Tamandua tetradactyla: one gene and its partners. The protein of the gene in region 2 binds, or shares a complex with, the protein of the main gene of each other region. Links are inferred from orthologs where the notes say so. Each region holds a gene or a part of one and is shown on either strand. Other genes may lie near its edges. The genes, in order: SMARCD3, SMARCC2, SMARCE1 and SMARCD1.

What was found.
Region 1: SMARCC2 (region 2) and SMARCD3 share a complex: the UniProt entries of both Homo sapiens proteins name them as parts of the BAF complex. The link is inferred for Tamandua tetradactyla from reciprocal best matches to the Homo sapiens genes SMARCC2 and SMARCD3.
Region 3: SMARCC2 (region 2) and SMARCE1 share a complex: the UniProt entries of both Homo sapiens proteins name them as parts of the BAF complex. The link is inferred for Tamandua tetradactyla from reciprocal best matches to the Homo sapiens genes SMARCC2 and SMARCE1.
Region 4: SMARCC2 (region 2) and SMARCD1 share a complex: the UniProt entries of both Homo sapiens proteins name them as parts of the BAF complex. The link is inferred for Tamandua tetradactyla from reciprocal best matches to the Homo sapiens genes SMARCC2 and SMARCD1.

Annotation. Positions count from the first base shown.
Region 1 is NC_135327.1:195,192,448-195,200,031, forward strand, and holds the start of SMARCD3 (SWI/SNF-related matrix-associated actin-dependent regulator of chromatin subfamily D member 3), read right to left. Parts: upstream 3,032-7,584; 5' UTR 2,604-3,031; coding exon 2,526-2,603; intron 1-2,525. UniProt on the Homo sapiens protein: Involved in transcriptional activation and repression of select genes by chromatin remodeling (alteration of DNA-nucleosome topology).
Region 2 is NC_135333.1:123,240,099-123,247,809, forward strand, and holds the start of SMARCC2 (SWI/SNF complex subunit SMARCC2), read right to left. Parts: upstream 3,070-7,711; 5' UTR 3,015-3,069; coding exon 2,904-3,014; intron 822-2,903; coding exon 702-821; intron 141-701; coding exon 55-140; intron 1-54. UniProt on the Homo sapiens protein: Involved in transcriptional activation and repression of select genes by chromatin remodeling (alteration of DNA-nucleosome topology).
Region 3 is NC_135332.1:26,727,011-26,734,001, forward strand, and holds the start of SMARCE1 (SWI/SNF-related matrix-associated actin-dependent regulator of chromatin subfamily E member 1), read left to right. Parts: upstream 1-3,874; 5' UTR 3,875-4,336; exon of another isoform or gene 4,337-4,427; 5' UTR 4,428-4,565; intron 4,566-4,590; exon of another isoform or gene 4,591-4,838; intron 4,839-6,546; 5' UTR 6,547-6,591; coding exon 6,592-6,598; intron 6,599-6,774; coding exon 6,775-6,818; intron 6,819-6,991. UniProt on the Homo sapiens protein: Involved in transcriptional activation and repression of select genes by chromatin remodeling (alteration of DNA-nucleosome topology).
Region 4 is NC_135333.1:111,100,579-111,107,768, reverse strand, and holds the start of SMARCD1 (SWI/SNF-related matrix-associated actin-dependent regulator of chromatin subfamily D member 1), read right to left. Parts: upstream 3,061-7,190; 5' UTR 2,841-3,060; coding exon 2,664-2,840; intron 2,040-2,663; coding exon 1,852-2,039; intron 1,584-1,851; coding exon 1,541-1,583; intron 1,446-1,540; coding exon 1,323-1,445; intron 847-1,322; coding exon 724-846; intron 1-723. Other genes in the region: ASIC1 (acid-sensing ion channel 1), read right to left, coding at 5,863-5,967, 6,149-6,253, 6,344-6,423, 6,905-6,996. UniProt on the Homo sapiens protein: Involved in transcriptional activation and repression of select genes by chromatin remodeling (alteration of DNA-nucleosome topology).

The DNA of each region.
Region 1 (7,584 bases), on a different chromosome or scaffold from region 2:
GAGAGATGAGGCAACTGTGGCTCAAGGAGAAAAGCAGCGTCACCAAGGTCACACAGCTCATCCTAGCAAAGGCAATACCTGCCAGGACCTAGTCTTTTTTGCTCTCTGCTGCTTCATTCAAGTTAGGGGCTGAGCTCCTTGCTCTGACTTCTGCTGTTCCTCCTTTTATTCCCTCCTTCCTATTCTTCACTTCCTGGGCTGATCAGCACTGCATTTACTTCTTCTCATCTCAACCCACTCATCTCTCTGGGCCCCCTGCTTTTGACCCCTCAACCCCAAACACCATTCCCTTTAGGCTGATTCCAAGTCTCCATACCCAGGTACCTCAGCCTCACTAACTTTGCCCACACCCATGATTTGCTCCCAAGATGAAGGCTGGAGGTAGGGCAGGAGGCAACCTCGGCTGTGAGAAGCTGCGGGCTGAGGACAGACCCTTCTGTGATTGGGAGGAGTGGGGAAAGCTGGCCTAGAAGGGGGATGCCAAGCACACTTTGGGCAGGTCAAAGCACCAGCCTTAGATCTTACATCTTTCCCTCCCCTCCCACCCACCAAGCTCACCAGAGATGGCCCTATCCTTACAGATCTCCTCCACTTCCCACTACTACCCCCAGTGCAAGCCACAAGACGGTTCAAAAGAGGCCAAGGAGAAGGAGATGAGGCAGCAATCACTCTCTTGCCACTATCCCTGGGTGGTCAGATGGGATGTAAATGAGATGCAAACGAGTCCAAATTAAGTGCTCCGCAGGCTTTTAAAACCCAATTGTCCAGATTCCACAAGAGGGATTGGGCAGGGCCAGAGGGGCTGTAAGGAAGAGAGTGGGTGGAATGGAGACTGGGACAAGGAGAGCAAGGAAGGAGCCTTGCCCCTGTTATCATTTAAACAGTACCCGCTTCACCCCCCGGGAGCACAGCTGCCACCAGACACAAGGAGGAGCCTGAACCCTGGGCTTGAGGTTCCCCTTCCAAATGCCAACTCTCCCTAACCCTAATGCCCCTCCTACCCTCAGCCAGCCAGCTGTCACAGCCCATCTCTCCCGCAGTGAAACCTGCTGGTTCATGTGTCTGCCTCCCCCACCCCACCTGACCCTGTCACTCACACCTCCAGGGTAGCAGAACAGAATGGGGCCCAGACCCAACCATTCCCCACCAGCATAGGTCAGGGCCTGGGAGTAGGGCTGTGGGGCTCTCGGCCACCCAAGAACTGAATCTCTGAATTGGTCATATAACAAAAAATCCACATTAATAGCCTCTCTCCTTCCTAGATGGGTCATTTTAAAGGGACTCCCCAGGCAGCAAGGGTGGGACTTGGAACTCGGCTGGTGGACACACACACACACCCTTGGGAAGTTACCCCCAGAGATCCCTGGAGCTGGAGGACAGGCTGCCCCAGGGATGCCCTTTCTTCCCTATCAGGTGCATTCCCCATTGATCAAGGCCAGGGATATCCACTGATCTGCTGAAGAGACCCCCAGAAAACTGTGCCAGCCATCAGGGCTACTTCACAGAAGGCTAAGATTCTAAAGACTGGCCACCCTCAACTGAGAAGGTACTGGCTTTGGGGTCCTAACCAAATTTGTTCATAATAATCCTGACTGCTCCTCTATACTTTGCTTCCATCCCTATCACCTATCCCAAATCTTGGAGCCCCTGCCATCTCCCAGTGCCTGAATCATCCCCACCCTATTCCCACAACCTTCCCCAAGCTCTCCTAACCTGGTCTTCTGCTGACTCAGCTCAAGTGTCCCCTTCCCTGGTCTCCCTTAGCCCCCCTAAATGCCTTCACAGCCTCCTGTGGCAGGACAGGGCTGTTCTGTCCCTTTGATCTCTAGGCCTCATATCCCCATCTCTAGCCCTTCCTTCACACCTTTGAGGCTTTGAGAACATCAGCTTGTGGTGACTGACTCTGCCAAAGGGACCCTCAGACCCCTTCGCTGGAGGTCTGTCCCTACAGAGGGCCTCTCTCTGAGCCTGATGGCAGAGGCCAGCCGCAAAGCCCCATTGCTCCCCTGTCAGGAGGCAGCGGTTGCTCATGCCAGAGAGTTTCCCACTCACAGTGCCTCCAGGGTCACCTGCTCCTTGCTCCTGGGGCACAATCAGAGAGAGACACCATCCCAACCTATGACCAGACAGCCCAGCCCAGTCAATGCCATGCCCCCCACTACGACCCCCCCATGGGGAAGAGGTAACACCTGGGCCCACAAGGAAAAGAATAGAAGACAACATGCTTGATTCAGAGGGGGCCCCCTCACTTGGGATAGTCCCCAAATCCCACCCCCAGCCCCTGACAAGAACCCATGCAAATGCTTCTCCCTTTCCCGCCTGCACACCCATCCCCTGCCAGCCGCCTGGTGACGTGTTCGGGTGCCAGGGGCACTGGCACAATCCTGGGGCTGGGCCGTGGGCCGTCGCACCCCCCAGCTAGAGGGGTGAGAGCAAGGGAGCGCCCTCCCGGCCCCTCCCAATCATCCCTCCATTCAGCCAGAGCCAGCTCACTCACCCTCCCCCGCTAACTTTCCCCCACTCACCACCCCATGGACCAGAAACTCAAAAAGTTTGCTTTTCGTGGCTTTGCGCGCCCCTCCGGTAACTTCGTCCGCAGCCATCGGGGTGGGCTCAGCGGCTCCTCTCACTCACTCTCTCTCTCTTCCTCTTTCTTTCCCTTTTCTGCCTTTTTTTTTTTCCTCCAACTCTCCCCTCTGAGTCCTGCTGGGCTCTCTCACACTTCTACTAGAGCGGAGTGGGGAGGGGGCCCCTTCAGGGCTGCCCTGACGGCCCACGGCCCACGCCACTCCTGCTCAGCTGCTGCCACCACTGCCGCTGCCGCCGCCGCCGCCGCCGCTGCTGCCGCATTCCTGCACTGATAAGACAGAAATAGTCCGGGCTGCCCGGGGTCTGGCTGTTTACTCGGCGGGGACAGAAAATCCTGCCTTTTCAAAGCTGGCTGTCCAAACAGCGCAGATAAGCGGGGAGGCAAACTGAAAATACTGTCTCCTTGGCCGCTGGGGTAGCAGCACAGCAGCCGGAGGCCGGCTGGAGGGGCCCGGGGAGGCTGGCGAGGGGGTGGGGACGGGGAGGGGAGGTGGCAGAGGGGGCTCGCCGGCCACCCGGAGCTTTCTCCACAAATAGTTTCTCGGTTAGGGAATTCACCGGCAGAGCCAGGCAGGGAACAGTCAGCTCCAACTCATCCCCCCCCCCCCACCAAGTTGCTCCTGCTGCATTTCTGAGGCCCTTTCCCTAGGGACCTGGCAGGCCAAGTACGGAAACATTCACTGGCAAGGAATCTGGGGAGAGCCTGAGCCCGGAGGAGGCCTTCCCTCCTGCCCCAGGGTGAGGAGCAGCGGTGGGGTATGCCTGGGCAGGCGGATGTCCTCCTCTCCCCAGATGTATGTGACCCTGTCTCCCATGGCTGCGTGTGTCTGTGTCCTGGTGTGGGCAAGACTCTGTGGCTGTGGGTGTGGACAGTTATTTGTGTGTACAACAGACAGATGCCTTTTCTGTGTGTCTCTCTATGAAAGGCTCTGGTGTGTGTGTATGTATGTGCATGGGCCTATGTCTTTCAGCTCTCTGTGAGTCTATTTCTGGGTATATGAGTCTTTGTCTCTCTGAGAGAAAGTGAGGGTAATAGGGGAAATATTTTGGAAAGAGGGACAAGGATCAAGCTCATGACAACAGGGAGAGAAAATGTGAGGGAAGGCGCTGGGGGTGGGTGCACAGAAGGGTGGGTGGCAGGAATGAGGCAAGGAGGGCTTGGGTGCGGGGTGGGGGACCTGGAGTAGCTGGGGCTGCTGGGTATGGTGGGGGCAGCCTCATGACCCCAAAGAAAGCTGGGGTGGAGAGGCTGGGGTTATGAGAGAACCCCAGGAGGGGTGGTGTGGAGGGAGAAGGCAGCCCGGGGTTTGGAGGAGGGGCAGGAAACAGGAAGAACAAAGCCTTTGATTTCCCAGGAGGGGAACCCGCCCCCCCCCCCCACGCCCCTAGACTCCACAACCCTCTCTTCTCCTTTCTGTGGGTCCCACAGGCTTTGGGACAACAGCCTATCAAGTTGACAGGCCTCTAGGGGCGGCCCTGCCAGAATCCACATGAGGCTAGAGCAATGCCTGGGAGGGTTGGTTGGAAAACTTCTTTGAAGTTAGGTCCTGAAGACTTGGTATTACACTGGAGGTGGGAAGTGGTCCTGACCATCAAACCCTTCAGAATGCCTTCAGAGCTCAGGACAAGGAAAACCAAGGGAGTATTTGCCCAGCTTGATTTCCCTTGGGCCCTGGTTGTGCTCTTGGGTGCCTCTGTCCATATGTGTGTCCACTGTCAAGCCCCCAACAGGCCACAGAAAGCATCTGGGTCCAGGACACCTGTCCTCCACCCCAGGCTTGGCAGGAGTCCTAGAGATCCCTTTCCTACCAAATCTCTTCCAAGGCTTCACCCCAAATCCACACACACAGAATGTCTTGTCCCTGGCAGGCTGGGTTGGGTGGGTGGGTTGCCTCCATCCGCCATCACCCATAAAGGTGGCTGCTGGTAATCTGGAGTGGGGCATTCTGAGCCACACCCCAGCAACACCCTTCTCTCTGCTCCAGTCTCCCACTAACCTCCAAAACCCCAGACTCATTCCCATCCCTCTGCTCCCAGTATTCTTTTTGCCTGGAATGCCCTCCATTTCCCCTCGGCCTGTCCAAATCATACCCATCCTTTCCAGTGCAGGCCCCACCTCTTCCAGGAAGACATCCCTGATCTTTCTCTTCTCTGATTGCCCATGGCTCATCTACTTTGCCTCATGAATTGACACTGGATTAAGTAATGTCTGATGTGCCCTGCATTCCATGTGTGTTAGGTTTGGTTTCCTCAGTGATGCTACAGCTCTGTAAAGTAAGGAACTGGCCTCTCACTCCCATGCCTGGGCACCAGGATTCAATAATACAAAAATGCCTGATGATGCTCAAAACCACCTAAAAATTCAGTGGACCAAGATCACACTCTGCCTTGTTCTTCAGGGTGTGAGAGTCACTGTAGCCACCCCCAGGCCCTGTGAGAACTTCTAGCATGAGAAAGCTAGACCACAGGACGTGGAGGTTCTGGGGGATGAGAGGGTATGACATCTCCAGACTTTGTGTAAAGCTCAAAGTTCTCAACTCTGGAAGAGACCTTTTGAGGAAAAGAAGGGAGTATGAGGAGATGGGATGGGCACTCCCTATTGGGCAAGTGGGAAGTATTAGGGTGGGGCATGAACAAAGGTGGGAGCCCCCCAGCACCTGTGAAGGGGTTGGGGAGACCCCAGGGATCAAGAATCAAGGATAGGCAGTTCATCAGTCTAGGAGATGGAGGAGGTGATAGGTGTCACTCACCTCCACAGACAAACCCCTCCTGGGCCATGCCAGGATCACAACCTCTTCCACACCCCCTGCTGGCTTTGCCACCCCTCTGGGAGAGATCCTTAAGCTTGCACAAACCACAAATACATGATGCATACAGACACACACACACACACACACCAAGCACTCATGCTAATGCAAATGCCAAAGAGACAAGGAGCCAAGAGGACTGACACACACAGGCACACCTTGACCACCTCCATATCACACTCACAAAGCCCGAATTTACAAGGCACCGCCATCAGACACGTTTACATGCCGCTTTTACAAAGGTGACCAGAGGTGTGCAGGCTCAGGGGAGTCTTCAGACCAGAAAGCAGAAAGCAGGGGCGGAGACACCAGTTGGGGCACACCCAGCCAGGGCTCCCTCCTCACAAAGGCCGGATCCCCAGCAGCTCAGCCCAGAAGGACGCTCCAGCAGTCACCACTGCTGGACACGCGGCCGGCTTCCACACAGGCCCAGGAAAAGCCCGGCTTCAAGCAGGGAGACGGCCCTTCCTCCCAGTCCGACGGGGATCTCACTCCCTGTCCGGCCCAAGTAGCGCTCTGGGTAGGAGAGTGCCTGTGTGTGTCTAAGGAGAGGGCCAACTGCCTGTCTACCCAGGACAGAGGCTCCGGGCTCGCCTGGGCTGCCTCTCGGCAGCCCAGAGCCGGAGTCCCCCCTGCCGTCCCCCCATCTCTCCTTCCCTCACTGAAGCACCACCAGCACCAAATGGCAAAGCGCCTCTCTCCACGCAGGGAGAAGGATGTAGCCGCGGCCTGCCGGGACGGGCTGGGGCTGCCTTCTCCCCCACCCCCTCCCGAACCACGCCAGAGCCGGCAGCGGCAGCCCGGGTGTGCAGTGTTGGGGGCGCGTCCCGGCCTGGCAGCCGCCGCCCCCCTCCACCCCAACCGCGGGGTCCCCCGGCAGTTGCGGGAGCCGGCCGGGAGTCGGCCTGGGCATGCGCACTGCGGCCTCCCTCCCGGTGAAGGTCAGCCCAGGGCCTAGCTGCAGGACTCAAAGGCGGCGGAGAGAGCTGGAGGGGGAGGAGGGATGCAGGGGAAAGACTTAACTCCTTCCCTTCGGGAAGATGGCCACCAAGGCCTAGGGCCTGAGCCCTGGGTCCGCACGCTCCCTGGCTTCTGGGGAAGTCCCATTACTGGGACAGAGCTCAGGGAATTGGGGGAGGGGGAGGGGGAGGGGGAGGAGAAGGGGCTGAGCGAATGTAAGGAGGGAGACTACAAGGAGAGAAGGGAAGCTGGGAAGGGGGAAAGGGAGAAAGGGAGAGGGGAAGAGAGGAACAAAGGAAATAAAGACTGAGGGAGGAAAGGACTGACAGGGTGAGACTCATCACCACCAACCGCTTTTCCTGCACCCCCAGCAATAGCTTTCCTTAATTGGATAAAGTTAGCCTCACTGATTGGTGTGTGTGCGTGTGTAAAGTGAGACCACTTGGAGCTCTCAGGTTGGCCCCTGGCATTTCTTCGTTCTTAAAACCTCTAGGCTCTGCCTAGAACCAGCAGAAAGAGAACCCTTTCTCATCCCCATCACTAAACCACCCAGAGGTAGCTCTGACCCAAAGCTGGCCTAAACCTTTCCATGCCCAGCTCCTGGAAGTGTGGGGGGCCTGCACCCCAATCCTCCACCTGAAGTGAGGGGTTTCCTTCAGCCTCCAGACAGGGCATTTGAAAGATCGGACAAGGGGTATCATGGCACATTCCTGTCCCCCAACCCCCTGGCTGTCCCCACGGTTCTTCCAAGACCTGGAGCAGCGCCCATGTGCCTGTAGGCTTGTGTAAGAACAGTTCTGTGCCCAGGACTCCCTCTGCTGCTATCAAAGGGGCTGTCTGCCTCTGTGTAACTTCACCTCTCTGTGTTACTTTCACAGACACACAAATACAGATGGAAGGAAGCAAAACAAAGAAAATAGTTGCGTGACCTTGGGCAAGTCGAGGTATCTCCTTGCCCTGCCATAAAGGAGGTGCTTAGGCCAGAGAATTCCCGGGGCCCCTCCTGCTCTGAAATCCAGTGACTGTAAATGTCAGAGACAGGAGCTAAGTCAGACAAGGAGAGAAGGAAGGTAGACGGAGGGAGGGAGCCAGAGAGACAGAAACAAAGAGAAAAAGAGATGCAAAGAATGAGATAGTCAGAAGACCCGCCACAGAGACAAAGAGACACGCCAAGTAAATGGGCTCTGCTAACAAGGAGTGGAAGCCTGGCCCCTGCTATCAGCCTCTC
Region 2 (7,711 bases):
AAAGGGGATTCTCTCTAAATTAAACATAAGAAGCATAGAGAAAAGGCATCTCACCATCCCTGGTCACTCTTGAATTTGTAGGCAGCTGCAAGTATATGGCACAGGGAGCCTCCTGCTTTGAAATCTAGGAAACATTTGATCTACAAAATTGAGACAAGAAAGAAGTTTATGAGAGTTATATCTTAAATTCTCATCAGCTAACAATCCTTTCACAAAATTCTATGTTGATCACCCTCTTAAGATGGAATTCTTTAACCCTTGTGCTATTGTATCATGTGGCTTAGAAGAAAGAAGGGAAAGAAACCAAAATTCATAAGGCATCACCTTGTGCCAAGCACTTTCCAGGAGTACCACATTTATCATTACAAAAACTCTAAAAGGTAGGTATTATTATTCCCAACTAGAGATGAAGGCATTAAGACTCAGAAGGGTTAAATGGCTTGTCCAAGATAACAGAGCCACCAAGGGCCAGAGCCAAGATTTGAACACAAGCAAATCCAAATCTCATACCTGTTGCACAAAGTATTACTAAGACAAAAGGAATAATAAATTAGGGACTAGACCAAGCCAATGATGCCCTGACAAGGGGTAGGAATGGTAGTAAATGACCCAAACTTTAAAAAGTATAAAATTTACAAATATACAAAAAAGTAAAATTCCCTCTCCAGTTTGGAGTATGTATACCTTGGTTTTGCACTCACCGGCAGTTTAGTGAGAGGTGCATTGCTGACATGTTTGCCAAAAACTTCTTCCTGAAATTGTAGCAACTGTACCACCAGGCTAGACAGGGACTTGTTGGTGGGTGGTTCAGCTTGTATATACTAGGGAAATGGGAAAAGCAAAGAAAAACAGACCCCAGATAAATGATCTACCACCTCCCATATTTCTCTCCCAGGAGTTCTAGAAGCATCTAGGGCAGAGAAAATAGTGCCTTTCTCCTCGGATGCCTAGTTCTGTAAAGAAAGTAGCAGAAAGAAGGCCCCGATCAACCCTTATCAGGAAGCTGAATTCCTCCTTCCACTAGCCAGATTGCTAGTGTTGGGTGCTGGAGATGTAAGAAACTTCCTACTCTTCCCTCAGCAATACCTTGAAATTACAGGACCCTGTTACAGGACCCTGTTATCTTGACACCTGATCTCCAGTCAGGAACACCAAGGGTTCTAAAATTCTGAAGGTATATGGAGTTCAGGCCAGGGAAGCAATATCTTTGGGGCTCACTATGCAGGCCAACATTGTATTTCTTGGGGGAATTTTGTGGAAGGCCAAGTTTCCCCCTATAATGTAGCTTAATGAGGCACAAGGAAGTGAGGTAGGGTAAGCAGACAGAAAGAATATGCATTTGGCTTCTGCTAGGAAGTGGGTACAAATGTCTTCGTGCTAGCTGTAGGCACTCCTAGATGGGAAGGATCAGCTACTACTTTTCCAGTAAGGAACAGTAATGCAACATCTGTCCTTTATGAGGAAACTATATCTGAGATGCAACTCAGGGCCTTCTTAGCCATAGCCATATTAAGCTACCTAGCAACCTAGCCTTCTGTTCTAAGTTAAAAACAAGCCAGAAAGCTAACTTTCTCTTTACCTTTTGACCTCTGTTTCCTCAACCCTAATCACAGAGAAGAGAGCTCATCTCAGTGGGAGGTGTAAGGAGATCAATGAGTGAAAAGGTAAATGACAAGAGCTAAGAGCATGAAAGCTGAACCAGGTCACAGGCTGTCAATCTCCCCAGGGCCAGGGACTAAGCCCAAAGCCTGATCTCTCTTCCAAAAGTCAAAGTAGAAGCCTGGGAACAAGACCCTCACACTGGGGTGAAGATAAGCACAGATCCAGCAGCTGTTTGTCAGAGAGAGATCCTGAGAACAGGGCCAGACTCATAACCAAGATCACAGAGGGAGTCCCCCTAAATCACCCATCACACTTCCACTTCTGACAGGCTGCAAAGTTGGGCAGGAAGAGCTAGGAGGCTGAAAGAAAGCCAGAAAGAGAGCTCTTAACTCTCTTTCTGGGGGGTAGTGAGAAGGAAGAGAGGCAGATCATCTCCAGAGAAAACCCTCTCGTATAGCTGCTCCTGTCACCAGGCTTAAAGACAAAGACACCAGTAAGAGGTTTGGTGGAAAAGACAGGTAAAGCTTCTTGAACCCTTTGTTCACTACCTTATCACCTCCACTTATGGGATGGGGATGGGGAGGGTTAGAGGAATGGAACTCCTCTTAGGTTCTGAACCCCAAAGCCAATGCAATGCAAGACTAGCTTGCAGGGTGACTTCATTATGAAGGTGAGGAATGGTTTAAGAAGGGGCCGCTGCCCAGGAAATCTAATACACTAGTACCCATAGAGGTTTGTTGCCGCTTAGACGGAGGTGGGGGGTGAGGAGCCGGGAGACAGGTGATTTGGGTTGGGGGCCTTTCTCAGGGTGATGAGTAGCTAGGGGCCTGCTCTATGACCATTTACCCTCCCGCTTTCATCATCTCTCTCAACACACACAAAGCACCAGGGAGGCCTCAGCCCTGCTGGTACCTGGCTCCGTGGGGAGCTCTGGCGCGCACTGTGGCGGGCACGTTTGGCCGACCCCGTCCACCCCTAGCTGTCTCTCGGAGAAGCCGGGAAAACGATGGCTTCGGAGAGGATGGGCTGCTGGCATCGGGCCCACCGGGGCAATGGAGAAAAACAAGGGGCAGAGGGGGATGCGGGGGCTGAATTCAGAGGCTGGGGGTGTAAAATGGGCTGGGGCAGGGGCGCAGGGCGCCAGGCGGGGACCGGGAGCGGCCTGGGAACTGCTCAAGGCCGCCGGGCAGGAGCCGGAGGCGGCAGGAGGGTGGGCAAGATCCGGGAAGGGGCTTCGGGGCCACGGCCCCTTTGTCCCGCCCCCAGCACCCCCCACGGGCCTGCCCGCCGGGGCCGCGTACCTTCTTGTAGTTCTTGCCAAGCCAGAGTCGCACGTTGTCGAACTGGGTCACGGTGTCCGCGGCCTCGTAGTACTTCACGTTGGGGCCACCGTCCTTCTTCCGCACCGCCATCTTCTCAGGCTCCGGCCCCGCCGCCGCCGCCGCCCGCCCCGCTCAGCTCAACTCCCGCCTCCTCCGCCCGCCTCCCGCCGCCTCCCGCCGCCGCGGCCGCCGCCTCCCGCCGCCACGGCCGACCCCGGCCCACGTAGCGCCCCCTGCCGGCAGGCCGGGCGCAGAGGCGGCAGATTGGCCCCACGCGTGGACCGACCCCGGTGGCCTTCCCGGCCGCGGCGGCGGTGGCAGCGGCGGCGGTGGCGGCAGCCGGAATCTCCCGGGACACGGCTGTTTCCTGGAGGGGGCGCCCACTCTGCTGAGATCGCTCCTTAACTGACGCTAAGCCCTTTCTCTCCTTTGGCCTCCTCTGCCCGGGGGATGGGGAACCTCTCTATTCTACCTCAAGGGGACGTCCATCGCCCTCAACCCTGGAGCCCCGAGTTTTTCTCATCCTTGCACATCTCTAATTCCACAGAAGCTCAAACGCCTTTTCCCAAAAGGTTTCTTCCTTTCATCCCTCCCCAGCAGCTCTCCCTTTAAACTTTCGAGGATCCCTCACCCTTGACGTCTTGTCCAGGGACCGTCCTCTCACCCTTTAACCCGAGGAGTTCCCTGGCCGCCACCCTGGAGTTCTAGTCCCTTCCCACCAACTGCTTCCTCTTCAGGCCCCGCTATCAAATCCTAAATAGTTTTCGCTCCTTGAGACCCCTCTATGCTAGGCGGGAGACCCTACCTTCCAGAACCATCTTGTCCACCTGACTTTTTTCCTTTGAGGGGCCGAAGAGGAGGTAAGAAGAGGGAGGGCCACAGCAGAGGGGTCGGGTCCTAGCTTCCAGTTGTACTTCTTGCCGGGTCAGAAGTTGAATCCCTTCTGTAAGCGCGCGGGAAAGCGCGATTTTTGGGAGTCACGGTGGCCGAGTGGTTAAGGCGTTGGACTCGAAATCCAATGGGGTTTCCCCGCACAGGTTCGAATCCTGTTCGTGACGGCAGCGGTTTTTGTTTGCTTTACCTTCACAACTCATAAAGGGAGTCCCAATCCCCAAAAGTGACTTTCTTGCACTTCTCTTTCTGTCTCGGAAAGGAAAGCCAAAGGTTTCACCTCTGGATTTTTTTTTTCTTTTTTTTCTTGTGGTGGTGGAGCAGTATGGGGAAGGAAGTCACAGGAAGCTTAATTATGCACAGTTGTATTGGCTGCTAGGCTACACGGCACTTTAAGTCTTATTAACTGTGTTGCCAGCAGAGTGTTCGGCGCAAGTTTCATTCTTGTGAGAGAGGGTAGTAAAGAATTTGAATGAAGAGGGGTGTTTCAATTTTGTTTGAGAATGTGAGTGCTTTTCTCTGTAATGATAGTCAAACCTAGAGTTTCTAGGAAAAGAGGGCACCTCTGTACTTCCATTACTATATTACACTTTGTGGGTTTTATTACACTGACAACCCACGAAACAGGACATTCTCTCACTCAGATGTTCTTGAGGAGATAAACCTCAGGCATCACAGAGCTGGGGTTGGGGGAACCTATTGAAACAAACACTAAAGAGCTGGAGCCAGGGTTTGGGAAGTTAACTGTCTGTCACTTTTTGTGTTCTCCTTAAGTGCCAGGCCCTGTTCTAAATTCTCTTTGTATATTAACCAAGCTAGGACCTATAAGGCTCCTGTCCTCACCTCACCTGGCTCTTCCTATCCTCTAATGTCTGTTGTGGGAAAGAGCTAGGCTGCTTGTTGAGAATGTTTTTGTGTCAGTTCATTCATACCTTTGTTCATGCTGTTTTGTGGATTGCCCTCACCATTGCCCACCTCTTCTCCCATCATCATATCTTTTAAGCCCCTCTCTGCTGTGCCTCATCATTTCACCTGCAACCTATTGGTCTACTACCACCATTCCTGAGTTGTATGCAAGGCATCTCCCTTGACATGCCTCCATAAAATATATAAAAACAAGTCTTACTTATTCTGTCTTCTAAATATGTCTCAAATCTGTCTACTTCCTTCAGGTGTGAGTGCAGGCTGAGCCCACCACATACTACACCAAGGTACTTGGGCTTTCATCAGGAAAGTAGGGTTAATTTAAAACTGCACTAAAGATGGGTACTATAGCCTGAGACCTTAAGCCCCTGATGGCTGCTGTTTGTCTGCCCTTTGTCTTGCATGATCTAGCCTCTTTCACCACTCTTCCATATTCACTATATTTCACTCACTGCCATTCTTTTAACTTCTGCTATAGTATGTGGCCTTGCCTGTACTGTTTTCTGCATGAATTGCTCTTTCTCATTCTCACCTTCCACTCAAATGTTGGTTAAATGTTGGTTAAGCCTCCACTTAAATGTTGGTTCTCGTGGGGAGTCTTCCCTGATCAGATATTGCTGAACATATCCTATGCCTTAACTTTATTATTTGAAGTATAGAACATAAACTCAGGCGCATATAAGCCACAAAATGAAAACAAAAAACAAAAACAATATTTGTTGAATAAATGGATGTTTTTACAGTAATTATGTGTACATGTTTTAATTGTCACTTGGACTGGACTTCTTTAGACTTAGGCTGTCTTTCACAATGCCTTATCTGTAGATGTAATCAAATATGTATTAAATAAATTCATAGAATCTAGTAGGCTCAGTGCTCTGCTTCCTACCAAATACCATTTTGCTCATACTCTTAGACTTAAAAACAAGACCAAAATTGACCAGCAGAGGGCAACCAATAACTGTGTTGTGAAGGGATGGCAGCTCCATGGTTTACAAAATGGAGGATTTGGACTGAGAAGGAGAATGTGGCATACGGGGTTTGGCACTTGGGGACTATCCTGTTCACTCTCAGATGCCTCCCTTGTAACTAACTTTTGAGTGTTACCTCTATCTTCATGAATAATAGATAATTTCCAAAAATTTTACCAAATTTTTACCATCTCCATGGCCCCAGTTCTTTCACCTTTCCCCTGCAAATTCTGTCCTTGTATCTTTGTGTTGCATGATCTGGTCCCCTTTCTCTTGCCACGCTTCTGTATTTACTACATTACATTCACCGGCATTCTTGAGTTCCTGGTACAGTATTTGGCCTTGCTCATCTGCCCTCAACCTTCTATTCCCATCATTTCAACCTCCTAAGGAATTTTCCACAAGCATCCCTCCATAACACCTTCAAATTCTCCTACTCCTCTGGATCAATCCTTCCTGAATTCAGAACAAAATCACACCTTCACTTGACACTGCCAAATCACATTGTTTTCTACTTCCTCTTATTTTGCAAATAAAATGCATACCCTCTGCCTCCAGCTCCACACTATCTTAATACCCTGCCATCTTGTTTCTGCCTCCTGCTTTTAAAAAGACGTTAATAGAAACACTGGCCAAATTCAATAGTCTTTTCTCATTCTTAAACTTTTGCTATGTTTGAAACATTGGTTTCTTTTAAAAATCTTTCCTTGTTTGTTTCTAGAGACATTGTGTTGTCTTTCTCCTACTCAGAACACTGCTTCCCCATCTCTTTTTTTCTCTGTCCTTCTGTGGAAGTCTACTAAAGCTTCATTCTCCTTCCTTTCCCTAAGACAATATCCTAAGCCATCTTTCCACGTGTACAGCCAAACCATGGTCCTGTATCTCTAGTTGCCTATATATCTGCATAGCTGACCAACGGTCACCTAAAACGCAAATTTCTCTTCCTCTCCTAGAATTGCATTCCCAACTTTTCCATTTCTGTTGGCACTATTCTCTCAAGTCTTTCTAGTTTCCAACCTTAAGAATTATCTGCTATTTCTCTTTTTCTGTTCCCATCATTCATCAATTATTGCTCCATTATATAACTTTAATTCATGACTTTGTTACAATGGCTTTCAAGGTGTCCCCGTTTGGTCACTTCTAAACCCACCCTATATGGTTTTAGAATATGATTATTATTCTTTTAGAATATGATTATTCTAAAAGGCTGCTTTCATCACATTATTTCCCTGCCCAAGAACTTCAGCTCCTCCTCTGATCAAACACCAACATACCCTGCCTAAATTATGCATTTTTCTCTACCACTGTAATTAAACTGATTGTCTCAATGTGACAGCCCAGTTCCTGCCTTTCTTCATGAAGTGCCTTCTCTCCCCTCACCTGTATACCAACTAGCAAATGCTACCCTCGAATGATCTTTTTGGCTTTTATTCTTAGCTCTTATAAAAATTTTCATATGACTGATATAAAAGAGCCAATATGGGGGAATCTAATATTCAAAAACTTAATATCATTCCCCTCCAACTTGTTGACTTGTTCCAAATTTTAAGAGCCTTCTGTCGCTGCTGTTTATTCAGTGAAACAAATGACAAAAGGACTTGGGGCTGAAATTATCTCAACCTGTATTTGTTCCAAGGATGCTGTCATTGCACAAAACATTTCTGAACTCTTTTACAGCTAATTTATGAGCCATGTTTAAATGATTCATTACTACAAAATTACTGGGGGGGTAGGGGCAGAAACAACAGTAGCCTACTCTATCATGTGTATCTATTTTCTTGATTGCAGTCCAGATTACTTCTGGAATTCCCCACGGTCCCATCCTTAGCCTTCTTCCCTGTTCTCTCCTTTAGTGTTGGCATTCACTCCTATAATTCCTTCATCATCTCTGGGCAGGCCACTCCCAAATCCACATCTTCAGCCCTAAACTTCTTGATCTTAAGCTCCAGACCCATGTTTCCAATCACTGGCTAATCATTTTTGTGGAAACACCTTTGATTC
Region 3 (6,991 bases), on a different chromosome or scaffold from region 2:
TCATAAAACCTATTGTACTAAAGTTACTATACTAAGCAACAGTAATTGTAATAAAGCAGTATGTCTAGTGTAATCTTCATGCAGTGTTAAAAATTTAGAACTGGACATCATGAATGTAACCGCTTATTATAGTAATTCCACTATGCAGCTATTGTGTGTATAACAGGTACATTTAACAATACTTGAGTTTATAACAACGTTTTGTTTGCTTTGAGACATTTTAAATTGGAATATGAATTTGCCAAAGTAAATTATACCACTAAGATAAAAAAAATTAAACTTGAATTCTAAAGCTGCATTGTATTTGAGTTTCATACACTTCTTTTAATTCAAAAATATCTCTGGGACCGCAGTGGCTCAGCAGGCAGAGTTCTTGCTTGCCATGCCAGAGACCGGGTCGATTTCCAGTGCCTGCCCATTCAAAAGAAAACACAAAGTAAGTATCTCTGCATGTCTAAGCAAAACAAAGAATCAATTGCTTCAATATGGTTAGCTCATTTGAGTACAAAAGAAAAATTCCATCATAGTAGATAATGGTTTTTACACAAGAATGATATATTGGTACTTCAGCCTAAAAAAAATCAAAGAAATCCCATGGTCCTGGAGAAAATATAACAACAGCATACTATTTGCAAAGTGTGTACTATGCTCTAGGCACATGCTCAGTGGGCTCAAACATAATCTCTGATCCTCAAAACAGTCCCATGAGGCACATATTATCCTCATTTTATAAGTGAATAGAAATTAATATTCTTCCATCTCGCTAAAATATTTCAAATGCACACTTCCATAACAAAATATAATAAGGAGTTAATTTCGATTACTAACATTGTAAAATTCTAGCCCAGGTTCTAGAGGGCTAGGTTAACTACAGTTACTAGTTAGCCATATAAGCAAGAGGGAATCACTCTAAGTTCCCCAGACCTCAATTTGTATACCCGAAAACAAAGGAAAAGGTGATACCTGATAATAATTCCTACCCTGCCCACATCACAGAGTTGTCTGAAATAATACACATATGAAAATATTTTGTAAAGCACTACTCAAATATACAATACTATGTGGATGAAAATTGTCTTTGGGAGTAAAGAATTTGTGAGGACAATTATAGCTGGCAATGATAAGTAACATAGATAAAGACAGTAGTTCTAATTCTTCAATTGTTGACAGGAAATGTTCTTTTCCAGTGAATTAAACTTCTTCCATGACACTTTTTAAAATACAAAAATGTTCTCTAAAGTAAAAAAAAAAACTAAATTAATTTGAAAGTTTCAAATAGAAATAAGTATGGCACCTGGACCAAAGTTAAACTTTGTTAACTAATATGTATATACAAATTACTGATATTATTAACACATGAAATCAAAGGAATCTCTGTACACAAGGCAGAATTTGGCTCTATGTTAACAAGTTATGGCCAGCAGGTTCACAAAGATTTCCAATATTCATGGACATACTAAAAATAAACATTTCAAAATAAGGCATATGTGCAAATCAGGACAAGTCCTTTCCAATGTTCCCACACTCTTAAATTATAAACCAGGAGTCAGCAAACCTTTTCTGTGAAAGGACAGTAAATATTTTAGGCTTTGCGGGCCATGCAGTCCCTGTAGGAACCATGCAACTCTGCCTTGGTAGCCCAAATGAGCCACAGACGATATGGAAATGAATAGGCATGGTTATGTCCCAATAAAACAATTTACAAAAATAGGATGCAGCCCGGATTGGCCTGCAGCTGTAGTCTGTTGAACCCGATCCTAGATTCTCAATAAGATCAACAGATATTTGTGGATTATCTGTGGTTAAGAGACCCCGACCCCAGATTTCCCAGGACTAGCACCATTCCATTTTCAAATATTTTCATCTCTTTCCAATCATGTATCAAAAATCATGCCCCAAATCAAGGTATTGAGGGGATAAGGAAAGTTGTAAAAGCATACCACATTTTTTGTCAAATTCTATAGAACATTGTGAATTACTCTGTCCTTGAAAGCTACAGGGCTTCAACATTTCACAATTACTTCCAGCGATAGAAAACAAATTCCTGTGACTCCTGCTTTCACAGAAACGGCTGAGAAAATGAGCAAATTCCACCATTTGCCTATAACAATGGTGGACTTATTAGTGCCTATAAAAGTCAGTGTTAAGTACAGTCCACCTTGCTGGATATTTCACTCTTCAGCCTTAATTTCTTCAAGACTAGGAAAATATTTTTTTCTATTATCTTTTGTTGCCTATTTCTTCTTTTCTTAACTTTGTAAATCTTCAAGAGAGAAAGAACTAAAGGGGGAAAAACTGAATAGCTATTCATGTATTCATTTCACAAATATTGGCACCTATATTTACCCCACACAGTTCCAGATATCAGAGTTTAGCAATGAACAAAATTAGTCAGATAGATGTCTCTACCCTTGATCAAGGAGATTTCATTCCAACGGAAGGACAAAAACAACAACAAAAATAACTACATAAAAATACAGTATATTGGGCAGTGATAGGTACTGTAGAAAAAAATTAAGCACAGATGATAAATAAGGAGTAGGGGGGTGGGGGAACAAGTCGCAATTTTAAATAGGTCAGTTTGAGCAAAGACCAGGAGGTAAGAAAGTGATCAGTCAATGTCACTGCTCTACCCAGATACCCTCCTTTTTCTTCCCACCATTTTTGTGCCACCGTTCTCACACTACAGTGCGCTTTGTTTCTAACATCCAGCATCTGCAATTTTTCTTCAGAGGCCTGCTTAGAGATAATACAATTGAACATCTGTCCCAGCATTATACCTGCCCAATCCCCTGACTATAATCCTAAAGGCAGTGAAGAAACCAGGCGGAGTTGCTGGTCAAGGCCAGAGAAACAAGACATTGGGATGGGCTTCATGTGTCTCAGAATACTCCTTTACATGTCTCTGATGCTTTTACATTAAAAAATCAATTTATATATATTATCTCAAGCACCACTCAGGCTGCTTGTTATCTATCCTTCCAGGCCCTCACCTTTAAGCCTTCCTTTCAATACATCTTCAATTTCACTGATCTTTAGTCACTAACATAAAATTATTAGAGGTGGAAGAATTGCACAGTTTCATGAGTCCCTGGCTTTGCAGCCTTCCAGAGATGCCCGGTCCCTGCCAGCACACCCAGTGTGGATTCTGAGAGCAGAGCAAGAATTCATACACTCTTAATGGCAACACTGTTTTCAAAGTAATTACAGATAAGGAAGGATCCCATCTGTTCCTTCTTCCTCCACAGTGGCCACAACATCAGCAAAAATAGATATTTATATTCACAAGGAAGGGGCTATTCACGCCACATGGTAAGCCAATTTACTCATTATTTAGTGAAAAGAGCCCTGGACTAGATTAGAAATCTGCCTGAGTATATGTTTACTGAGTATCTAATAATAGTTCAAGATGATTGATGCAGACGCCTGGACCTTTGCTTTCAATGCCCTCGTAATGCGCTGGAGTTAAATACAAACTGATAAAAAAAAAAAAAAAAAAAAGAAGAAGAAGAAGAAAAGAAAAAGTCAGGTGGACGATTACAATAAAATTATCATCAAATAATGATAAGCTTTTAATCTTATAATTTTTTTTATCTTTCTCTGTGCCATGGGTGCACAGAAAAAGGATTACTGGGGAGAAAGTTTCAGTAGGGCATCACAAAGTGACCTGTGAGCCGCATCCGGAAGGATAAATGAGGTTAAAACTTAAAGTGGCGACAATAGTTCCCGGCTGAGTGAACCGAATTAACCAAGACAGGTTGAGGCAGTTACTAGTGGCAACGGGGACACTGCGCGGCTTACCGCGTCCGGGCCTTGCCTCGGGGAACTGTGGCACTTACACCATAAAAGCGCTTGGATAACTGAAAAACTCCATACTGCTTTTCATCAAGGATAATGCCAGGCTGTTAAAGTAGAAAGCCGTGCGAGGCGCCTGTGAGAAGGAAAATTCTGTGAACCCAGTCCTTCCCGCCTCCACCCTCGGCGTGCTAAGATGCACAGCTCCTGCCCAGAGAGAAGGAAGAGGACCCGGGCGGAGGGTGGGGGAGGAACACGGGGGCGGGGACGGACGCGGCCCCAGCCAGGCGCGGCCCACTTGGCAACGGTGGTTCCGGGGTCTCACGCCTTAGCGCGATTCCCGCTGTCTTCGAAGCGTGGCTGCTGAGGCCACGTCCCCCACCTCCCTGTGGCACAGCTTTGCAGCTCCCGCCGCGTCACCTGTCGCCGAAGCCGCTTCTGTTCCTCCCGACCGCGAAATCCCGGCCTATCCCGTGGTCGGGCAAACTTCTCCCTCTCCGTCGTGACGAATCGGCGCCTAGCCGAGAAAATACCGAAATTCGTGAGTTTTGAGGAACTAATGCGGCCTGAAAAAAAATTCTTGATGGCACTAAGTATCCCCGCGCCCTCACCATTAGGATTACTTTTCTAAGGAGAGTCGGGGGAAAGCTGGAGAGAAATTAAGAAAAGTGTCGAAAGTGCGAGTGCGGAAGCTCCGGACGCGAGGGGCGGGGCGTGCGTGGGACAAAGGGAAGCCTAGCCGGAGCTGCGGGCGCTCCTTCTGCCCGCGGGTGAGTGTTTCAAACTGGGCCTGACCGGGTCGGGAGGGTGACAAGTCTCTGTCTCTCCGCCTGGCTGCACCCTGAGTTCTCAGGGCTTGCTGGGGTTTCAGGCTTGGCTGAGGGGCTAGGGCTGGGGACCGATTCTGTGCTCTTTGAGGCCTAGCGAAGCGAAGATGGGAGTTCCGTCTGGGGCTTTTCCTCGGCGGTGAAATTTGCCCCGTCCACTCCTCCTCACAACAGGTCCAAGCGTCAGAGCGTACCCACCGCTCCCCGCCACCATCCCCCACCCCCGCCTTAGTTATGTTGCTGGTGAAGTGCATCCTTCCCGACAGACTTAAAGGAAATTATCTCAGAGGAAGCCCTCGGGGCAAGCCAAGCCCGTACTCTACCCCCAGAAAGGTGGTCCTCATTGGTTCAGGCAGCAATATGAGGAGGACCCACTGTGTGACTTGGAGCGAAGAGCAAAAGCTGTGAAACAGTCTGGCCTGGGTTTGAAACCTACCTCTGGCACCTACTGGCTGGGTGGCTTTAGACAAGTTACGTCAAGTCGCTGAGCCTTCCTTTTTTACATCTGTAAAATAGGGATAGCAGTACACGTCTTGTATACTGCGACTGTTGAACGAGATGGTCTGATATAGGTAATAAGTCTGTCCCGTATAAGGTATTCATTCTGAAATGCTTAGTATCTGTCATGGGCCAGGCACGGGGTGAATCTAGTGGTGGACAGATGTACAACCCTACTGCTAGAACTTATAGTCTAGCAAGAGAGATCAGCGATTTTAAAGTATTAACAATGAAGTGGAGTTTGTGGAGTTATCATCAGGGCTTCTCACAGCAAGGCCTACTGGGTATTGACAGCTCCCTGAATGAGAGCAGGAAGAAAATTTGCACCAGAGTCGGTGGTTTCAACCTGTCTTTTCTTTTTAAGGGAAGGAAGAACAGACTCAGGTTGGGCCATTGAATGTTTATCTTTCTATATGCTAGGCCTCTTATTTTTTATACCCCAGGAGATTCCCCTAAAATGCACACTAGGACCAAACATGTTTGTTGCACCTAATGTTGGATGAAAGTGTCCAGTGGTCATAGAAGTTGATTTGCCTTTTTTCTAAAAATGAATGTTTCTTCATACTACGTTATTGGTGATGTATGTTGATGTAAGAAACAAGCTCATGTGAGTATGGTCATATGAGCTGGCAATACTAGGGCAAAACTTATGAAGAATTTTGCCAAGTATTCTGCATATAATACGCACACCATCCATGTTGGCAGGTAAAAAATATATATATATGATAAATAAACAATTGGTAGATATTTGCAAACTGGAAAGGAATTCAGACAAGGGAGCAATTAATTCTGCCCAGATCTTTCATCAAGAAAGCTCCATTGAGGAGATAAATTTTGAAATGGGTTGTGAGGGATAAAGAAGGGTTTTCAGGTAGATTCTCAAAATTTATTCCCAGTTATGAAGATATTTACCTTTATTAGAGAATGTTAAGGCTCATTATTGTACCAGTTACCTTCTGCACTGCCTCCAGGAATAAACTGCTGTGCTACTTTAATGAAAGTTATCTTAAAAGCAAAAGTATAACCTGCTGATCAGGAGAATTGTCAGTATCCAGTGGGCCCTGATAGTTCATCACATTCTGTTGTCATTATCTTTTTATCAATCTGATTAAATGTTTACATGGCAACAGTAAAATGTTTTCCATACAAACGCTGGCTCTATCATAAGAACAGACCTGAAAGTATATGTCTAACATTACTTTTAATATCCTCAGTAATTTTTCTTAGTCATTTAATTCTGATCAACCAAGTGTCCTACAAGAATGCGTAAAATATGAAAAAATCTTGATTACTTGAAGATAATTTAAAGTAATTTTACTCAAAGATACCAATTAAACAACCCTATTCTTTAGGAGAACATTCTCTTATGCTTGCTGAGTTTTGATTCTCTTTTTTTTTCTTTTTTTTTTCTTTTTTTTTATTTTAGTGTCTCATATTCATTCTTAAGGAACTGAGAACTTAATCTTCCAAAATGTCAAGTAAGTTTCATTTTTATATTTATCAATCTATGTTAATAAGAGACTAATGCCCTAGCAAGTGGGAATTCCAAAATACTCTCATTTTTTTTTCCTTCAAAACAGGACCATTGGTAGTTTTGTTGCATAGTATTATATCTCAGTTGTTTACAAGAAGTTATTTATTTTCTTTCAAACAGAAAGACCATCTTATGCCCCACCTCCCACCCCAGCTCCTGCAACAGTAAGTTTTAATTTTCTTGTTAATGTAATAGCCAAGTCTGGCCTTGATACAAAAACCCAGATGTCTTCCAGTGACAGTCACTCAATCATCACAGCAACAGTATTGAAAATTCAACTAAAAAAACAGCACTTCCTACTAAATAAAATAACTCTTTGCATCTTACCTTGAACCAA
Region 4 (7,190 bases), about 12 Mb from region 2:
AGCTTGAACGAGAAAAGTCTGACTCTAGAAGGGAAATGAATCACTGGCAATGAGCAGCCAGAACAAAAACGGCTTTATTTGGACCAAATGACAACACCAGCAGATGGAATGGACCTATATAGAGAAGGAGGCTCTGACACCGAGCCCTGCTTCTCCTGCAAACGTGCATTCAAATTAGCTTGCCTGTGGCAGCTTAAATTAAAAGCTGTCGAGTATGAAGGAATGAGAGGTGAGCTTCCCCACAGAGCTGCTGTGGTATCAGCTGATGTTCTTCATAAAGCAATGAAAAGTTTATCAGAGACATCTATCCCACTTACACTGTGAGGAATTAAAGTTGGGAAGAGGGAAATACCATAGTGGGAATCAATGACCTCAAGGACTCAGAAAAGGAAAATTATGGCCTCAAATGTCAAGAGCAAACTCAATTGATTAAGGAAAAAAACTAAAGTAATCTTCAGATACTGGTGAATCCAATGGCCTCAGCACTAGGGGAAGGGAAACAACAAGTCAGATCCCAGGACAATAATGATACCCATAGTGAGGGTCAAAGTTGTGGGAGACAGACACAAAGAACCATTGTCTTTCAGTACAGAGAACAGAGTGTCCCTCGTCCCTGTGCTCCCAACAGGAGCTGTGTTCACAGTCTCAGCAGACCAGAGGACACTGCTCATTCCCAGCAGCTCCCACCCTAGACACACCGACCTCGGTGGACCTTGAACTCACATCCTCCAGGAGCCGTCCTTCTACCCGAAGCTCCCAGGAAGCCACTGTCCCTTCCCCATCCTCGGCATCTGATTTAGCCGGATTGAAAGTGTTAGAAATGAAAATTCGCAACTTCCGTTTTTGCTGTGGGGAAGGCAGAAACAGGATTGATGGTGGGGCTTCAGCGGTTTGATGTTGCAGACAAGGATCTCCCCAAACCCCAAAATTACTCCTAACAAACTGGCTTACTGTCTACCCAGTCCCTAGGGTTGGTGGAGATTCCATCCAGGAGAAGAACACAGGCCACTGGCCTGAGTGCAAGTGCATACACAGGGATGCCGGGTGGATAATCATGCAAGGTGCCAGGATCCCAAGATGGGAGAGCAGTTATAACAAAAACACGGACAAGGTATATTTCTGATGCAAGAGACATCAAAAGCCCCTCCCCTTTGCCATTCTGTTCTTATGCTCCTAATGTAATTCTCTCTTTGTAGGCAGAAGGGAGAGATCCAATTTAAATGCCAGAGAGAGCTATGTTATGCCTTTGATTTCTCACTAAGACTGCTGAAGTTTCCCAAGTTCTCTCCTTTGGCTTTCTGCCTAGCACTCTCCTGTGTTACCTTGATGGGACGTTTCAAGGCCTCTTGGATATCTAGCCGTTTCCTCATGATAGTCTGGTCCAGTTTCCTTTCAAAAGCCAAGAGATCCATATAGGCCTGGGATTCTGGCACCAGTTCACGAATCTTCAGAACAGAAAGATAACAATTAGGTTCTAGAGCTGACCATCTCTATTCTCAAACTCACTGTATCCTCAAGAAAACCTATAGTCTGGACTCACCCTTTGAGGTAGAATTTTGTCAGCCATCTTCTTTTTCTTTGCACTGTTCAGAATAAATACTGTTATTAGATGAGATGAAACTAGTCAGAACATGAAAACAAGCTGTCAGCACTCCATTTATAGAATGTGGAGGGGCTGCAAAGCTCCTCTCAAATCAAAGAGCTCCCCTTTCACATTCTCATTCTTGAGAAATGAGTCCTGCAGCCCCAGACTGCTGACAGGGAACCACTATTTCTTGGTTCAGAATACTCCCACCACCTTTGTTCTCATAGATCTCCCCCCTCCCTCCCTCTGCCCCAGAGTCATCTTACTTGTGGTTTCGATTCTGGACCGCCTGCTGCTGGACCTGCTGGATCTGCTGAGGCGCAGGTCTCTTGCGGGACTGGTCCATCCCTGACTGTGTCAGGCCAGGTCGGACTGAAGGGTTCCCCCCATAGCCAGGGGGTCCCATGGAAGGTCCCTGAGGTGTCATTCGGCTGCCTGGCAGCATACCTGGTCGCTATAGAGGGAAAAGGACCCAGAGATGTCATGGTTTCCCCTATTAAGACCAACAAGAAAGGAAAAGTGAGGGATGCCTGAGTTCTTTAAATGAAACCAGACTGGTATGGTAATGTCGAAATACAAGCAACTGGGACTTTCTCCACTCCAACTGTGATTCCATGGGTCAATATAGCCCAGAAAATAAGCGATAACCAGAATACACTCAAATGCTCTCTCCTATCTACCCTAGATCTGACACATTTACCTCCCACATTTACTCTGCCAGCTATTACCTCCTTAGAACTTGACCCCAATTTGCCAGCTATACCCTCTGTCTTCCTCTGGGCACTAGAGCTGCCAAGCCCCTGTGGGCTCCAGCCCTTACCTGCCCACCCCTGGCCCGAGGCCGTCAACCCTGATCTCATACCCTGACATGCACGGAAACAATACTCCTTTTGGAGTAGGTAGGGATGCTAAATGTCTCCCCCTCCTATTCTTCGCACTAATTCTCCTCACTCTACACAGGGCTTGAATTCCTCCCAGGGGAGCCCCTCCTACTTCTCCCCCCACCACACCCCTGTCACTCCTGAGCCCCCATCGGCCCCGCCTCCGGCCCGAGCGCTCCTCCTCCTGCCCTACTCACTGGATAGGCCGCTCCGGGCATCGGTGACCGGTAAAGCCCTTGACCCGGAGCTGGGCCCATTCGCACTGGGGGCCCCGGAGTCCCGCCTGGACCCAGCGCGGCCGCCGCGCCCGCCCCTCCTGAGGCTCCGGCGGCGCCGCTTGGAGCCACTGACTGGAAACCCGCCCGGGCCGCCATCTTCCCCGGAGCCGCTGCCGCAGCTGCACAAAGAACCGGAACCGGAACTCCCCCTGTCCTCCGCGCGCCCCCCGAGAGCCCGGCTGTCCGCCCGCCGGCCCGCCTGGCCCGGGAGGCTCAGGGTAGCGAGACTGTGGGCTAGAGCGGGAGGGCTAGCGGAAAAGGCTGAGCTTGACCACTCCCTCCAGCCCTCACGGTCCGGGAGGGACGACCACAGAGATGAGCTCTGGGATAGAGAGCCACTGTGAGCGAGCGCCCTCAAGCCGACGGGAGGAAGACAAAGACCTGGAAAAGGCGGACCCCAGCCCCAGCCTCAACCTTCTGATGCAGAGGATGGCAGAGTAACTGCTTCGTCCAGGCGCAGCGTCCTTAACCTTCCAAAGTGCTTTGACTGTTTTCATTTCACTCCCTATTGCTATATCTACGGGGTGCTGAGGATGAGAACGCACTATTTATTCTATTCTACAATGTAGCTCAGAGGGTAAATGACTTGGCAGAGGTCATCTATCAAGTTAGTAACAAAGCAAAGCCTAGAATCCAGATCTACTTACTGGCTTCTAGCCCGGGGCTCATTCCACAGATAAAATGCCTGAATAACTACCTCATTCTGGAACTTCAACCCAACTTGTTCCTAACCTTTAACCTAACCTGATTCCAGATTTTAAATTCCAGTTTATCTTGAATTTGACTCTGTCCTCCTCTCCAAAAAATCCATTGTGGTGGGACTTCTCTCTGGGGTCTTTGTTGTCTTTGGCCTCTCCCTCTTTACCTGCTCAGTGGTTCAAACCATTCCCAGAGAGATGGTCAGCCTGTTCTATTCTAGGAGGATCAGGACCTCCCTACTCAAACCCTGTTCTTACTCCTCCCCCTCATTCTTTGGAGCCAAGCCAAGTTCAGCATTAGGCAATTGATGGGAAGACCTGAATAACTTTCCAAATAACTGAAGAACAACACTGAAAAGGAGATGGTTGAAACCCAGTTTATTACACCAGAGGCATGCGTCACTCAGAGCCACACCTGCTGTTCCCCATCCAGTGCACACTTTTGGCCTTGCTCCTGATTCCCTTTGGGAAGGTGTGCTCTCTAAGAACTCCTAAGAATCAGGAGTTGCCAAAGATCCTACAGCTTCACTCACCAGCTCCAGGCCAATGCACAGGTGACCTACCCATAGGTCCTGTTCCAGGGTTGGAGACCAAGAGAAGGCTGGGCAGAGAAGGTCTGGGAAGGGGTTGGGACTGTGGGCTGGGAGGGATGCCTGTGGAAGGGAGAGGGGGCTAATCCTCTCCCTCACTTGCCTCTCATTAAGGTAGCGTGGAACAGAACAGCAGAGCTTTCAACTTTTCCTCTAGGCCTGTCTCTTTCCTCCCACTGCACACCTTACCTCACCAGAAAATGTGAGTGGCAGGCTTGAATATCAGGTGAGAAAAGGGAACTGGGCACCCAGAAGGAGGGAAAGACCATGACTGAGGACCTCAGCTTCTTCCTGTCCGCACTCCGCTACCCCCACTACAGGAGTGATTGACCCCCAGCTTCCTTCTGAATCTGGCACTCCAGCCTCTAGCTTGGGAGAAAGATTCTCCTTGGCTTAGGGTGTAGACTAGGTCCCCATTCCCTGGATGGGGGCTATCACTGTAGCAACATTCCCCCCTTCTCCTCAGAGGCTGGAACCAGCCAGGTAAAGGGTACTGGGGAGGGTGGAGCAGAGGAAGAGAATGTTAAGGCTGCAGGGAGGGCAGAGTATACCCAGGTTGGGAGGAGAGGATGAGGCCAGAAAGAGGCAGAGCTTGTGATTCACAGCTTCCTTTATGTCGCCACCAAGACAGTGCGAAGTTTACAATGCGTGTGTCGTCTCCTTGTGCTTCTCAGAGGGATGTGTGTACACAGTACAGACACCAGGGGAGAGAGTCCAACTCTTTATACAGGCGAAGGCATTCAGAAACCAGGGGGAGGGGGAGTCAGAGACACAGAAGGGGGAACTCAGGGTAGGGGGTGGTTTCCAGAGACAAGAGTGTATGGGGAGAGACAGACAGGGTTGGAGAAAAGTATATACAGAGATATAGCAATATAGAGTCTGTATCATATAGAAATAGAAAATGCAGATGAGGTTGTTGAGAGAAGCAAATGGAGTTGGGGAAAAGGACTTGGGAGAGTTCCATAAGAAAATTTATGGATGTGGCCCTCTGCAGGGGCCCCTGGGAGAAGGACCAGTGATTTCAGGCACCAGTAACCCTCTCCCTGAGCTGGAAACCAACCAGCGGGGTCTTTTATGGGATGTAAGAGGACGGCTGCTTCTTGGGATTTCTTTCCAGCAGCTACGGCTCTAGTGTGGGGGTGAACGTGTAAGTATCGGGGTGTGGCCTACAGCACCAGGGCCGCATCTTGCCCCCGTCTCCAATTCAGAGGATCACTGCACCCAGCCCCCTAGGGACTCCACATGGTGTGAGGAAGTGAGACTGGGGTCTTACTTTCTGCCTGAAGACTTGGGATTGGGGTGGGGGTGGGGGATCACTGCGTTGAGGGGGTCTCTTAAGGCTAGGAAAGCCCCTTCCCAGCCCTCCCCCTCAAGATACATTCTCTGGTTTGGGGCCAAATTCCAGACCCCAAGGATCCCCTGCCCCACCCACTGGGGGGGCTTTGGTGACTGGTGGCAGCAGAATGTAGGTGGACGCTCAGATGACAGACGGAGAGAATTCAGGCTGGAAGCTAGGGGAGGCAGCATGGGGCAGAGCAGGTCAGCCTGAGGTCCCTTGCCCCCTTCTCTCTTTTTAATTTCTTTTTTAGATTAGTTTAGTTTTGTTTAAAAAACAAACAAAAAAAGGGATAGAGGCAGGGAGAGTATGGTCAGGTCAAAACTCCTTCCTCACCACAGAGGAGAGGAAAGGATTGTCCAGGAGTGGGGGACTGCCCTAGGAGGTGGCCATAAGTCCTGGAGCCGATTGAAGGGGGCAGCCGGGGGAGGGGACGGGGCCCCTGCTCTCCTAGCCCTCCCCATCTAGGCCTTTGGTACAGGGGCCTGCAGGGCTCAGCAGGTAAAGTCCTCGAACGTGCCTCGGGCCGGATGGTGAGGTAGGATGTTGGCAGCGTACGTCATCCCGGCAGGATGGCCCCGGAGGCTTTCGCAGGGGTTCTAGAAGGGCACACACAGGACAGGGACTGGTTATCAGCGTCACAGGTGTCACTGGGGTGTGGAGGAGGCAAAGGAAGGATGGTGTGAAGGCACGGGTGGGGCGTGGGGGGTAGGTGGGGGCGGGCCCCGGGGCAGCGAGGGGAGGGTGGGCCCCGACGCCACCTCTCGCTGGCTTCCTCACGTGTCTTTTCACGTCGTCCAGGCTGAGAGCCACACCCTTATCCGCGCTGCTCCTTTTGGCTTCCTTCTGGCACTTCCCTCTCCGGCACAATTTGTGCTTAATGACCTGCGACAGGCGGCGGGGTGGGGTGGGACCCCTTCCGTAGGCTCCGCCCCTCGGCGTAGGCCCCACCCCCACCCCACCCCCACCGCTTACCTCGTAGGCGTAGTCAAAAAGCTCCAGCACCGTGAGGATGCTGGCCCCGATGAACAGCCCCATCTGGCCCCCGATGTCACCTGCGGGAGGGGTGCGTGGAGGTCAGGGAGGTCACCGTGGGGGCGGCACGGCTCGCAGTAACAGGGGCGAACAAATCCTATTCACGAGGGTGTTGACAACCTTCATGCACGGGCGCAAAGCCAGCTTCTGGTGGGGTTTTTATGTGTTTTTTTTTTTTCCAGCATTTTCTACTTTTCTAAAATGCATAGGTATTATTTCACGTAAAACAGTTGCTTACAAAATACCCAACACTCTTAGTCTCTGGACCAGTTTTCAGAGAGTGTGAAATAGCCCCTGTAACCCTTGTCCCTCCCCCGTCCCCATGCCCATGGGCCGCTCGCTTTACCCTAAGAAAAGGCTCAGCCCTCTTGCCCCACCACATACCAAGGCAGCAGGGTTTGGGGAAGGGTTCCTGGAGTGGGGACCATATGAGACAGAGGTGAGCAGGGAGTCAGGCCCCGCCCATGGCAAGGGAAGGAACAGGTGCATTCAGTAGCTCACCCAGGAGCCCTGCAATCTCATAGGCCTTCTTCTGCTCAATGGTCTCATAGTTGAGGACTTCAAAGAAAATGTCCAGCACCAAGATGTTCTCCCTTCAGTGAGGTTGGGGGAGGAGACACAGGTTCAAGTCATAGCTCTGCCTTTCACAAGCTGGGTGACCTTCACAAGTTAGCCTTTCTGAATCTCAGTCTCTGGATCATAAAATGAGATGCTAAAGCTAATGTACCTTGTAGAAGGATTGAATGAGATGGTGTATAGGAAAAGACACTGCACACCTGATCATAGT